Linked DNA regions of Neodiprion lecontei. The protein of the gene in region 3 interacts with the protein of the main gene of each other region in a biochemical or structural test. Links are inferred from orthologs where the notes say so. Each region holds a gene or a part of one and is shown on either strand. Other genes may lie near its edges.

Region 1 (3,755 bases), on a different chromosome or scaffold from region 3:
TGCCGCAATTAAGAGGCAGCATGAATTCTACGAATCTACTATTGCAATATTGTAGAATCTGTGCCACTTCTGTATTTCTGCATCAAATCAACGTTTTATTCGGAATTGTGAATACATATGGAATGTGGCTGTTGAGTCCTTTTAAGGTACATGGACTTTGATAGATGGAGATACATATGGCAACGTCGAAATCGACCAGGGCACCCCCTATAATATATTATATCATCGAGTCAACGTGCTGCAACACGCAAAACCCCAAATACCAAACCTTGCATTTTTTTCTCACGGAAAATCGGAGCAATCATCAGACAGCCAGATATACATAGAATACTTTACCTTTCGTTTTGACTTTTTTGTACTTCAGCTTTATATATTTTGAAATCCTACGAAATACACTTTCATGTGTTTGTAAATTCGATGTGTGACCTTTTTATTTTCTGATTTTTCTACATTTTTGACTCCACCCGAATTCATCGGTTCTACACCGTTGAATATCACGGTGTTCAATGTTGATCGCAACATAATGCACAAACGCTATACGGTTGAAAAAAATAACAGCAAATATACGGGAATTTTGAATTTTCATATCGCTGGATACCCTGGCTTAAACATCATCTTATAGATGAACGAAATAATTGTCAGATTAAACTGTATTTCGTCAAGATAATTTCGATACTGCCTTTTAACCTCTTCTAACAAAGCCGTGACATTCGCGCAATTTCTCGTTTTTTAGGGGAGAATGAAAAAAAAACAATGTTATACCAGTAATGTTCAGTTGAGAGAAAATCGATCTTCATTTTTTCAAAATACCGAAAAACAATGTTCGACGTCATTGAACAGGATTTTACACAAATACATACCATACATACCCCTTTGACCTTTGCTACAGCAGCTGTCAGAATTGAATAACGATAACCAAGCAGCTGATATTTTTCCTACGGGGTCTTTCAGGAACTCCGGGATTGTGCATTGTGCACTCGGCTCATGTATAATAATAGCAAGGGTCTGAACACTGAAATGTTGCCAAGCAACTGAAGCCCACCTCACTTAAGACTCCCATTCGCCGGCAGATATACGGAACACGATTCCGCTACAATTCCAACAATGGTTCAGACCTAAACAATAAATAATTATAATATCCCGGAAATCAGCTGCAACTGTGCAAGATACTATTACCTAACAGCAAAACCTAATGCAAATTCTTACTCAAGCCGACGCTCTATGCGTCCACTATGGTCGTACAAATACCTCTGCTGCGAAGGAAATTACAATTTATGGACGTTTTTTCCATGGGATATACCTATATGGGATTATTGGAATATGGTTCAGGGCATCGACGATGTCAATTCATTTGCATAGATATAAATTGATGGCCCTGAGAAGGGCCGTTTAAATTATTTTTCTGACGATTGCTGGTGTTGGTGACGAAATGTAGCTGTTCACTTCTTCTTCGGTGCTGCAGCCGCCTTCTTGGCTGCCGGTTTGGCCGCCTTTGGAGCTGGAGCAGCCTTCTTCGGCTTCGGAGCCTTCGGTTTGCGGGTAGGTGCCTTGACTGCTTTCTTTGCTTTCGACGGAGTCTTTACTTTCGGTGGTTTTGCGGCCGGGCTCTTGACAACCTTGCGTTTCTCCGTAGCGGCTGCAGGCTTCTTTGCGGCTACCAATTTTTTGGCGGCGGTCAACTTCTTTGGGCTTTTGGCAACAGCTGCCTTTTTTGGTGCAGCTGGCTTTGCAGCGGCGCGCTGTACCTTCGGCTTTGCTTTCGGGGCGTCGGTCTTCGCGTTCGCGATCTTGAAAGAGCCCGAGGCTCCCTTACCCTTAGTCTGCAACAATACTCCCGTAGTAACAGCAGTCTTCAAGTACTTCTTGATGAAAGGAGCCTGTTTCTCCGCGTCGATTTTGTACGTGACAGCAACGTACTTCTTGATTGCCTGGAGAGACGATCCGCCGCGCTCCTTCAAGCTAGCGATAGCCGCGTTCACCATCTCGGAAGTACGTGGGTGCGCCGGTTTTGCACGGGGCTTCTTTGACTTGGGCGAAGCCGCTGCTCTTTTGGCAGGAACGGCTTGAACGGCTGGGCTGTTAGCTGCAGGGTTAGCTGCGACTGCCGGCGACGATGCTGATTTGTCTCCCATAGCTGATCGATCTAGTAGTCGCGATGAAATGATCAAAACACCACTACTGACAATGGAAAATTACAGCTGAAAGACCGTCAGAGACACAAGTAAAGTTTATACTGTTTAATGCGTTTGCGCGTATGATCACACTGGTAGTTGAGATGGATAATACTCGTAAAAAATCTGAGCAACAGTTTGCTAGTATAGGATAGCGCGGACCATGGAGAGAGACCGTGAGCGCGTTTTAGGCGGTGCGCTTCGCGACGTTCGCGCGTGCGACACTGACCGAACGGTATTTCCTCGGGTGTTTTACTGTCGCCATCGAACTCCTGAAGACCTCCTGTTGCTACCAGGTACTACGAAGTATGCTCTATCGACTACGCAAGATTTTTGAACCGTCGCGGTAAAGGATCCCTTGTAAAAATCACTCTCCGCGAAGCGTGCGTCTTGACATCGACCACACCCTGAGCAACGGTCGCCCTGGTGCTGACCTGGGGGGATGCGATCGAATCTTTTCCAATGTACCAGTGTGAGCTCGAAGCTTTGCTCTAGTTCCATGCAAAAGCCGAACCTCGTATCTGCACTTGTCTCCGTGATATAAGCGATTGAAATTCGGGAGGTCGCGACTAAGTCTACGACGAGCTAGACCTGCTTTTTGCAGACGAATGTCGACCCGGTAGCAGTGCCGAGGAACGTCGACCTGGGTGACAATGTCGGGAAATTGTAATTTCTGGACACATTCACGGTAACGGATGTCTAATTAATGAAAATTTGAACGTAATGACACCGTGCGAAGCTACTAGGACCGGCCCAAGGTATCCAGCAAGTCGAGGTTCTGCGTAGTTTGACATTACGCGGAGCAGCTGATTTGTGTATAAGGAAAATTTTCTGCATGTATTGATGGTGGAAGTATTGCATCGAATTTCCAGAAATTTTGATAATCACAACATTCTCAACTCAATTACGGCCAGGTGGCTTTTACTTATTGTTAAAGCTAAAGAAAGAAGTAAATCATTACACTGCGGTGGATTAATCAGGGATTCTTTAAATCGTTGAAAACTCGTGTAAATGTGGAACGTACGCTTGTATGCCAAGAAACTCTACATTTTGTATATGTATGATAAATGGTTCACGAATAAATGTTATGCGTCCGATTTAAGTTTGAATTTGAACCGTCTTATGACCTTGAAGTCAGCGTTGATCAAGGGAAGGTTAGCGAAATTGTTTTCTGGGACGACGTAGTTGCAATAAAGAAAAATGGAGCGGGTATACAAATGCGCAGTATTTTTCCATTAACTGACTGTTACGCTACTGCCATACATTTCAAACCGGTATATCGAAATACCGGATATGCTAGATAACTCGGTATGACCTGATTTCTGCAGCTAGCCCTTGGGTATCGTTATATTCTGTCCTAGATAATCCGTAGGACGTCCGTTCCTCTATTCCGGATAATATACAATCTTCATCTCATACCAATTTAACAGTCGGGTGTATTAATCACTTTTTTCCCCAACTTGACTGTTATCGTACAAATACTCGATGAAATACATGTGCACTTCAATCGCAATAGTCACAAAGAGAAGTATTTCATATGGTAACGTAGAAACGGACTATCTATTGCGACTCGCGTGTAATGAA
Region 2 (3,755 bases), on a different chromosome or scaffold from region 3:
TGATTTGAGTCATTCAAAACAATAATTGCATCACTCACCGACGATGGTAATGTCATAAAGCATATGCCGCACTCTTCCGTTCCGTTTGTAGAAGTTCGTCGAGACTGAAAAACAATAGAACCAAGAACTGAAAAGTTGTTGAACAGAATGAAACGACAAAAGTTGAATGTTCTTCAACAGATTTTTCATCAATTACCAGAGATATTTGTGAAGATCTGGTCCTGTTAATGACGGGTCCTTTTCTAAAAGGATTTATAACGCGTGCTTCTGCAAATAATTTTTCTTGATCACCGTCATAAAAACGTTCCATTAATTTCTCTTTGTCCCATTTAAAATGATTAAGTAAAATCCTAGTCGTGGTTGCAGGTATCTAAAACGGTACAAAAAAGGCCTGTTAAATTGCATACTCAACAAAATGAATAAGGAAATTCGAAAAATATGGTAATTCATTTCTAGTAGTCAATTCCATTGAAATAAAATACACGAGTTGTTTCCTCACTCACTCACTCCTCACTTACTCACTCACTCACTCACTCACTCGCTCACTCACTCACTCACTCACTCACTCACTCTCACTCTCTCTCTCTCTCCTTTGCCAGATATTCGTAAATGCGAAAATTGTAAGGAAAGGGTGGGGGGAGTAAAAAAGACGGAAAAAAAGAAAACACAAACACGCTTATAGCTTGCAAGGTGAAATTGCAGCAGCAACTCGCATAATACATACAAGCAAGCATGAAGGCGATCAGCTGATCCGGAGAAGACAAAGAAGCAGTCTTGAAAACGGCGAGTGGATCGAAAATAGGAGTTGGGAGAGATAAACAAAGGACGAACGACCGCGATTTAGAGATCAGTGATCACTTATCGAGGATAAAAAGGTTTATATAAAGAGGTTTCTGTAATTTCGTTCCCGAGAAAATGTGATTTTTCTTCTTTGGTCAACGGCAAAATATATGTGTAGTTTTATCACATTGAAGTTAGTAACGTTATCGTAAAGATTCACGCCGAGGAAAAGCAGTTATATCGCGATTTTGAAATAGTCTGAAATTCGATAAACCGTAATAAAACAAAACACACTCACATTTCGAAATCTTGGTTCGTTCAAAATCATTGTAAAATTAGGAAAATAGTGACTTTTCTGCAATGGTTCGTTACGATAACGTTACTGAATTCAACCTCGTGTAGTTTTGACGTGACTGATTGCGAAGGCGGAGGAACGAATTCAATGACCGAAATCACTCACCTCGACGACGGTGTTTACGTCTTTAATCGAGTCCACCATATGCTGAACGATCTCTTCGGTCGATAAAACCTCGAAAGGATAATCGTCAATATCTGTGGCTCGTTCGCGGGGATTCCCGGACTCAATGTCCATAGCGAAATCGACGTCATCACCGCTGGACTCGTTACCCGAATCAACGTCGTCATAGGGTGTCTCTTCCTCAGAATCCATTATTATCGGGGTTTATTATGTATTTTGCTGGGCTACTTTGTTTATAGCGTGATTTTCTCCTCAGAAGACTGATTGCACGTTCTTCCCGTTTCTGCTCACCGTGGCCGTCGTGATTGATGGATAGCGAACAGAGATACGATCGAATGGATTTTTCGAGTATAAATTTTCCAAATCACGCGCGTAGACCAATTGTCCTTTTTTTTTTATTGTAAGATGCGTCTGTGTCTGTGTCTCTCGTCGGTTTGAGATATTTATCCGTTCACCAACACCAGCACGAAACTGTTTGTGAAACAGTTCGATAAGTATAATGACAAATGGGAATTGAAGGTGTAGGAGAACAGCAAAACAGGTAGTACGTACGACTGAACGAATAGAAAAAATAAATAAAAGGGAAAAAAAACTAAACAAAAGGAACAAAACTAAATAGAATCAAAGGGTGAAACAATGCCGCGATTAGTTTCGCGACTCGAGATTAGACGGGAACCCTACCACCTAGTGAATATGTGCGAACAAACGGATTCTGTGTGATCCGCACTTTACCGCGGGATGACCCCCGACGAATTTAGATTTCGCTGTATTGCGAGCCCAGAGAACGGTGGGAATAGTTGTGAAAACGACACAAAGGCAGCTAACGCGATTCGTCAACTGCAGCAACGGGTTAGCTAGGCGAAACTGGTGCCGTGCACCTGTGTTATTCGTTGTTCGGAGAACCAGCGAGCGGGCGAGCGACGATCTTTCAGCACATGACGTCACCGTAGCGAGCAGTGCTGGGTTCTGAAACGCGCAGAGAATCACGGGAAACTTTATACGAACGTACCGTAGGAGGTACACACATGTGTATACCCATACTTGTATGTAATATATGCTTGTGTAGGTGTACCAATATTATACATATGCACGCAGAGAGCGCACGGCACTTGGTATCATTATTTACCTAGTGACAGATAATCGAGACACGGGGGCCTTGTCGCGGCGTTATTTTAACCCCTTGGGTGATCCGACGGGGGGTCCCGTCTCCAGGACAAAGGGCTGGAGAATTAATCGAACCTATATCGCGACGTGCAACGGCTCTAAGAATACACAAATCAGCTGCCAAAAACACTCGAGCTTATATTCGGCAGCTGATCCACTAATGGCAGACGCGCAGAACGAGTCTGGGGGCTAGCGCCACGCCACGGCGTGTTTGGAAAGTTGTCATGCGAAAGCATATGGGGCGCCTACTTTTCAAGCCGCGGCCAATACCTGACGGTTTTAAATTTGTCAGGACCAATGATGAGCGCGGTTTGGTGACGTGACGTTTCGCATTCCGTTTTTTTTTCGCACCACATCCCACCATGCCCCATCATTGCAGCAACAGCAACGCGACGAACGAGCTCATTTCACTTCTGCTACCACTGCTGGAGTCACGTCCGTCATCCCGGAGTGGTGTTGCTGATGCTGACCGATGCTGTCCGCTGTTGATATCGAGTGTTATTTCGCTTCTCGATATATCGTCGCGGTATCGTCGACGCTGATAGGGTCTCGGGATTATAGGAGCGTGGAGGCGAAAATTTACGCAGAATTTCACTGTGAACTTTGAAAAGAAATACGGAAAAGCAAGAGGAAAAAAAAACAACGAAACTACCGCTCCGAGAAACGAGAAGAGGAAAATCGCGCGCGTCGACGCGAGTTGCGGCAGCGGAACTGCGGTCTGCAGATAAACGGCTTTGTGATTCGTCGGTAGGCGCCTTCTTACGCCAACTACGTGAAACGCCTAAGTCGAAGATCGATTATTAACGCGTTTTTCGTTTAATAACATGCGGACAATTTCGCACTGCTCGTACCTGTCATCCGCGACGAGCAGCTAACGCGCGAAACCTCGCTGGTTAATTGCGAGTTGAAATTCGATAAGGACAAACATGAGTCTGCCTACCATCAAGGATTACTCGCTCCTCGAGAAGATTGGCTCTGGAAGCTACGCGACTGTTTACAAAGCCTTCAAAAAAGTGCGTGTGTACATTTGAGGTTATGTTATACTATGTTACGTTATGTATTATTATGTATACAATATGGAAGGCTGTGATGAGAGAAACAATGATCAAATGGACGCAAAAACGTATGAGAAAAGAAAAAAAAAGAACAAAAAATAGCGACGTTAACTTCGAGAGTTTAATAATCCTTTGTGTAGGGTGGATCTAAGGATGTGGTCGCAATAAAATCGATGGACAAGTCAACCTTGTCAAAGTCTGCTATAGAGAACATAATCACGGAGATAAGGCTATTAAAAATATTGAAACATGAACACATTGTAGAGATGAAGGACTTC
Region 3 (3,755 bases):
AAATAATAAAGCATACGAGTTACCAATTTGTAGGTTAACCCAGTAATATTTATTACAAATAATTCAAGCAACTACAAAAATACTGGAAACAAAATACTGCAGTCCAAAACTTAATTGTGAATTCATAAAAGTAAGGCATAACTTACAGGCCAAAAATTATTAATGAGCAATGAGACTTTAAAGATCTAGAACGTGACCGCAATACTAGAAACTCACCTTGGAAGCAATGAACAAGCAAGTAATGCCGATAAGTTGAAGCTGGTTTTTGGGGACATTTTGATGAGACGACAGATACCTATCAACGAAATCCATTGCTAAGTAATATGTCTCCCTGTGTAACTTATAAACTTCGCAGACCTCGATAAGCCAGTCTAACAGAATAGCTCTCATTCGAGGTTGCAGAGTGGGATGCCTCTGAAACATCTGAGGATCCCTTTGAGTCAAAGACTTCTGATCCCCTAGGCACATCAGCGACCATACTTGTGACCCGTCCGCCCAAGGAAAGGAAGGAAGTGGACTGGGCCTGTTGGGCCCACCGTTGGACGCAGATGGTGTCAGGAAACAAGTTGCATTCCTGAGTTCGGACCAGCTAATTGGGTCCTGCTGCTCTGTTAAAGGTGAGGTTTGTTGCTGTTGTTGCTGTTGCTGCTGCTGCTGCTGCTGTGGAGTACGAAGACCATCTGCAGTTGAAGTCGAGTGGCAAGTTTCATTGGATGGTGTATGAGCAGAAGATATCGAGGGGACCTTCTTAGGTGGGTAAATATTTTCTGCATCCTCAGAGATCTCTGTGTTTCGACGTTTACGTTTCAGAGTTTGTGGCTTGCTTGTTGGCAGATAAATCTGTGATGGCTGCTTTTCCTGCAAGCTGAACGTGAGAAATATTTCGTTTTAGATCGTTTGTTATTGGCCAAAAATTTGTTCAACATTTCTACATTAAGATATTACGAGATCCATTCCCTGTTCAATCACATTTTAAACTGTGTAATTCTTTCTACACTTTCCTTGAAAAAGCACAAGTAGAGATAATCTTAATGTTGTTGTCCAATATTCGAGGCTTTGGTAATCAGGTGTTGAAAATTTAATCAAGTTGACTTGACGATATTCAAGCAATGTCACTAATAGAAAAATTAATAATATTCCATAAAAAAGCTGGTGTTTCAATCATTATATCGAATACTCTGTGATGCTGATTATAAATTTATATACAATTGCAAAGGGTGACGTTCTAAAACCCAACAAATTGGCGAATGCTGATCCAACAAGGCGGAGCTTTCTCGATTAAATTTTGGACTATGTTTACTTATCAGAATCAAATTTTTAGTGTTTGATCTGTGCATCAAGACACACTGGTACAAATACGCCTCATATTTGCTTAAATTCTAATTAAAGTTGAACAGTTATTGTAAAAAAATGTGTCAGTGACGAGAGACGTCAAAGGTTCGGTTCCACGACTCTGAAGGTATCGAAAAATTGTCAGAAATTTATGAAAAGAAGATATTTCTTGGAGAATGACTTTGGTAATCGATCAAATTGATTTTCAGTTTTATTGCAGTGAGTTAAGTGGGTTTTTCACCCTAAAAACCTGAGCCACTTAATGGCAGCCATTTGCAAGTAACTGGAACACCTCCAATAGGAAGATTTTTCGTGACCTCCACGTTGTTGGAAGAATAGAAACTTCTTCGGAAATACATTGTTCAGACTCAGAGATGAATTTAATAAGGTTTAATCGTTATAATAATAAGAGAATCAAATAAATAGAACCTTACTTTCGGAAAGTCGAGCCTCTTACCGGAATAAAATATTTATATATAAAATTGATAAAAATTTTATGCAAATTTCTATGGATTATTAAACTACGATCCAAATGGGATCTGAGTTAAATTAATTGGTGAGATAAAATATTTTTCGAGGTGTAAATGTGGCGTTCGTCGACCTACCTCGTTTGTGGCATCTTGTTCGTCGTTTGGTGGCGTATTTTATCTAACGACGAAGATCCAGGTGCGTATTGATTTTTTTAACGGATCGAGCGGATCTTATAGAATATTCGGAGACCGGATAATTAAAAATCACTATGGAATATCCAGAGTAAAATAGAAAATTACAGGAGGTCCGTGCATGCAGAGTTCACTTTACACACTCGCCATAATGCACAGTCTCTACGTTGACTCTGGCAAATTGATGTCGAAATATTATTTACCAGGGCTTGGAATGGTTCGCAATATTATTAAAAGTTTGCATAATTGGTTAGGGCCGCTACCTACTGGCTGGAATATTTATTTCTAATGAAATATCGAGGAGGTTTTCTTCTCAAAGCGCGGGAGAGTAGCGCGCGAAAAGGTGGCCAACCCCTAGTCGGCGGCTCGGTACTGTCACGCCCTCTGTACACACAACATAACCTCAAAAAAAAGCTAAAAATTTTCACCTCACTTAGAATAAGACGTCAAAATCAGTAACGTCAATATCCTATCTTATAAAAACGACGCGTTCGTGTTAAATCGCGAATATAATCCAACCTAATCGAACCGATGGTGGTCACATTCATCACTCACAACGTACACAATATTCTCGACTATTCTGTCACTGAGTACATACACAGTTCACTCTAACGCACCACCGCTAATCCGTGAACCTTTATCTTACGATTGAAAATTAACACGATTGCAGTTTTCACCGAAATGCAAGTATTACACCATCGCGCGTTTGCGGGAGAATGACCGGTTGTGTGACGCGCTTGCCGGGAGTGCATCGTTCGGAACAACCCGGATTGGTCGAACTCTGGCAGACAGCTGGCGCTCAGCTGATTTCTCCGCGCACACACAGCCGACTTCTCACTACGCATAAGCGAACACATAGATGCGGGCGCGGGAAATATCGCGCGTAAACTCAGCCTGCAATACCTTCGGCCCGCCAACGAGATGTCAAAGGATATCTTGCCACGTACCCCAATTCTTTAGGTGGGGTCTTTACCGGCTTTACTGACCACACTCACTATCATTAATTACTATTTACAATCCCGTCGTTTATCAACAGAGTTAATCATTCAACTACATTCGTTAAACGATAATACTCGTATGCAATCTATGCACGTACAATTGCGCGCGAAATTTTTCTCCCCATAGATTACCATCAACTTCATCCATCAAATGAGGTTTGTTTTACCGCTATGTATTTCTTTCCGGAATGCAATTATCGCCAATTAGGGACACGATACTTGTTACATCATAACAGCATTAACAGCTGCGTAAGCGATTTATTTTGCATTCTTCGATTGTCGGTTTGCAGTCATTTATAGTACGATAGAATATATTCAACTAAATTGAGTTGTCATCAATTGACGGCAAATTTTTAGAGTTCTCGAACAAATTCCAACATATCACGCTACAAATTTATTTACTTAAATTTTTTATTATGCTATAAATATACATGTATTGGTTGCTACAGTATTCGCTGTCTACGGAATATAATTAGTAGAACTATTGGTCTTCAGACGGAGCACGAATTTGGGGGTATCCTGCGACCATTATTCATCCTCTCACGGAAGGCCCTTGACATTAGAGTGCCCGTGACATTGGCTTGAAATTTGGACCGAGCGTGAATTTTGAACGCCTACGTCTGCCGGCATATCTCCGTAAACAGATGGCCTGTGAATCTGTTCTAGTATCTTAGTAACTGCAGTCGGAATAGATGAAAAAAAATAAGCGAGAGAAAAAATTAAGCGATGTAGAAAGAAGTTATTGAACAACGAGGCTGACCTA

The links.
Region 1: of the proteins of G1/S-specific cyclin-E (region 3) and late histone H1-like, one has a biochemical effect on the other in vitro, tested with the Homo sapiens proteins (4 studies listed by BioGRID). The link is inferred for Neodiprion lecontei from reciprocal best matches to the Homo sapiens genes CCNE1 and H1-5.
Region 2: of the proteins of G1/S-specific cyclin-E (region 3) and E3 ubiquitin-protein ligase ariadne-1, one has a biochemical effect on the other in vitro, tested with the Homo sapiens proteins (3 studies listed by BioGRID). The link is inferred for Neodiprion lecontei from reciprocal best matches to the Homo sapiens genes CCNE1 and ARIH1.

The regions. Positions count from the first base shown.
Region 1 is NC_060262.1:40,413,517-40,417,271, forward strand, and holds the start of late histone H1-like, read right to left. Parts: upstream 2,275-3,755; 5' UTR 2,133-2,274; coding exon 1,440-2,132; 3' UTR 1-1,439. UniProt on the Homo sapiens protein: Histone H1 protein binds to linker DNA between nucleosomes forming the macromolecular structure known as the chromatin fiber. Histones H1 are necessary for the condensation of nucleosome chains into higher-order structured fibers.
Region 2 is NC_060264.1:27,113,885-27,117,639, reverse strand, and holds the start of E3 ubiquitin-protein ligase ariadne-1, read right to left. Parts: upstream 2,821-3,755; 5' UTR 2,693-2,820; exon of another isoform or gene 2,672-2,692; intron 2,622-2,671; exon of another isoform or gene 2,385-2,621; intron 2,225-2,384; exon of another isoform or gene 1,730-2,224; 5' UTR 1,451-1,729; coding exon 1,241-1,450; intron 371-1,240; coding exon 197-370; intron 105-196; coding exon 39-104; intron 1-38. Other genes in the region: serine/threonine-protein kinase ULK3, read left to right, coding at 3,349-3,435, 3,618-3,755. UniProt on the Homo sapiens protein: E3 ubiquitin-protein ligase, which catalyzes ubiquitination of target proteins together with ubiquitin-conjugating enzyme E2 UBE2L3.
Region 3 is NC_060260.1:36,153,378-36,157,132, forward strand, and holds the start of G1/S-specific cyclin-E, read right to left. Parts: upstream 2,762-3,755; 5' UTR 1,952-2,761; coding exon 1,938-1,951; intron 866-1,937; coding exon 217-865; intron 1-216. UniProt on the Homo sapiens protein: Essential for the control of the cell cycle at the G1/S (start) transition.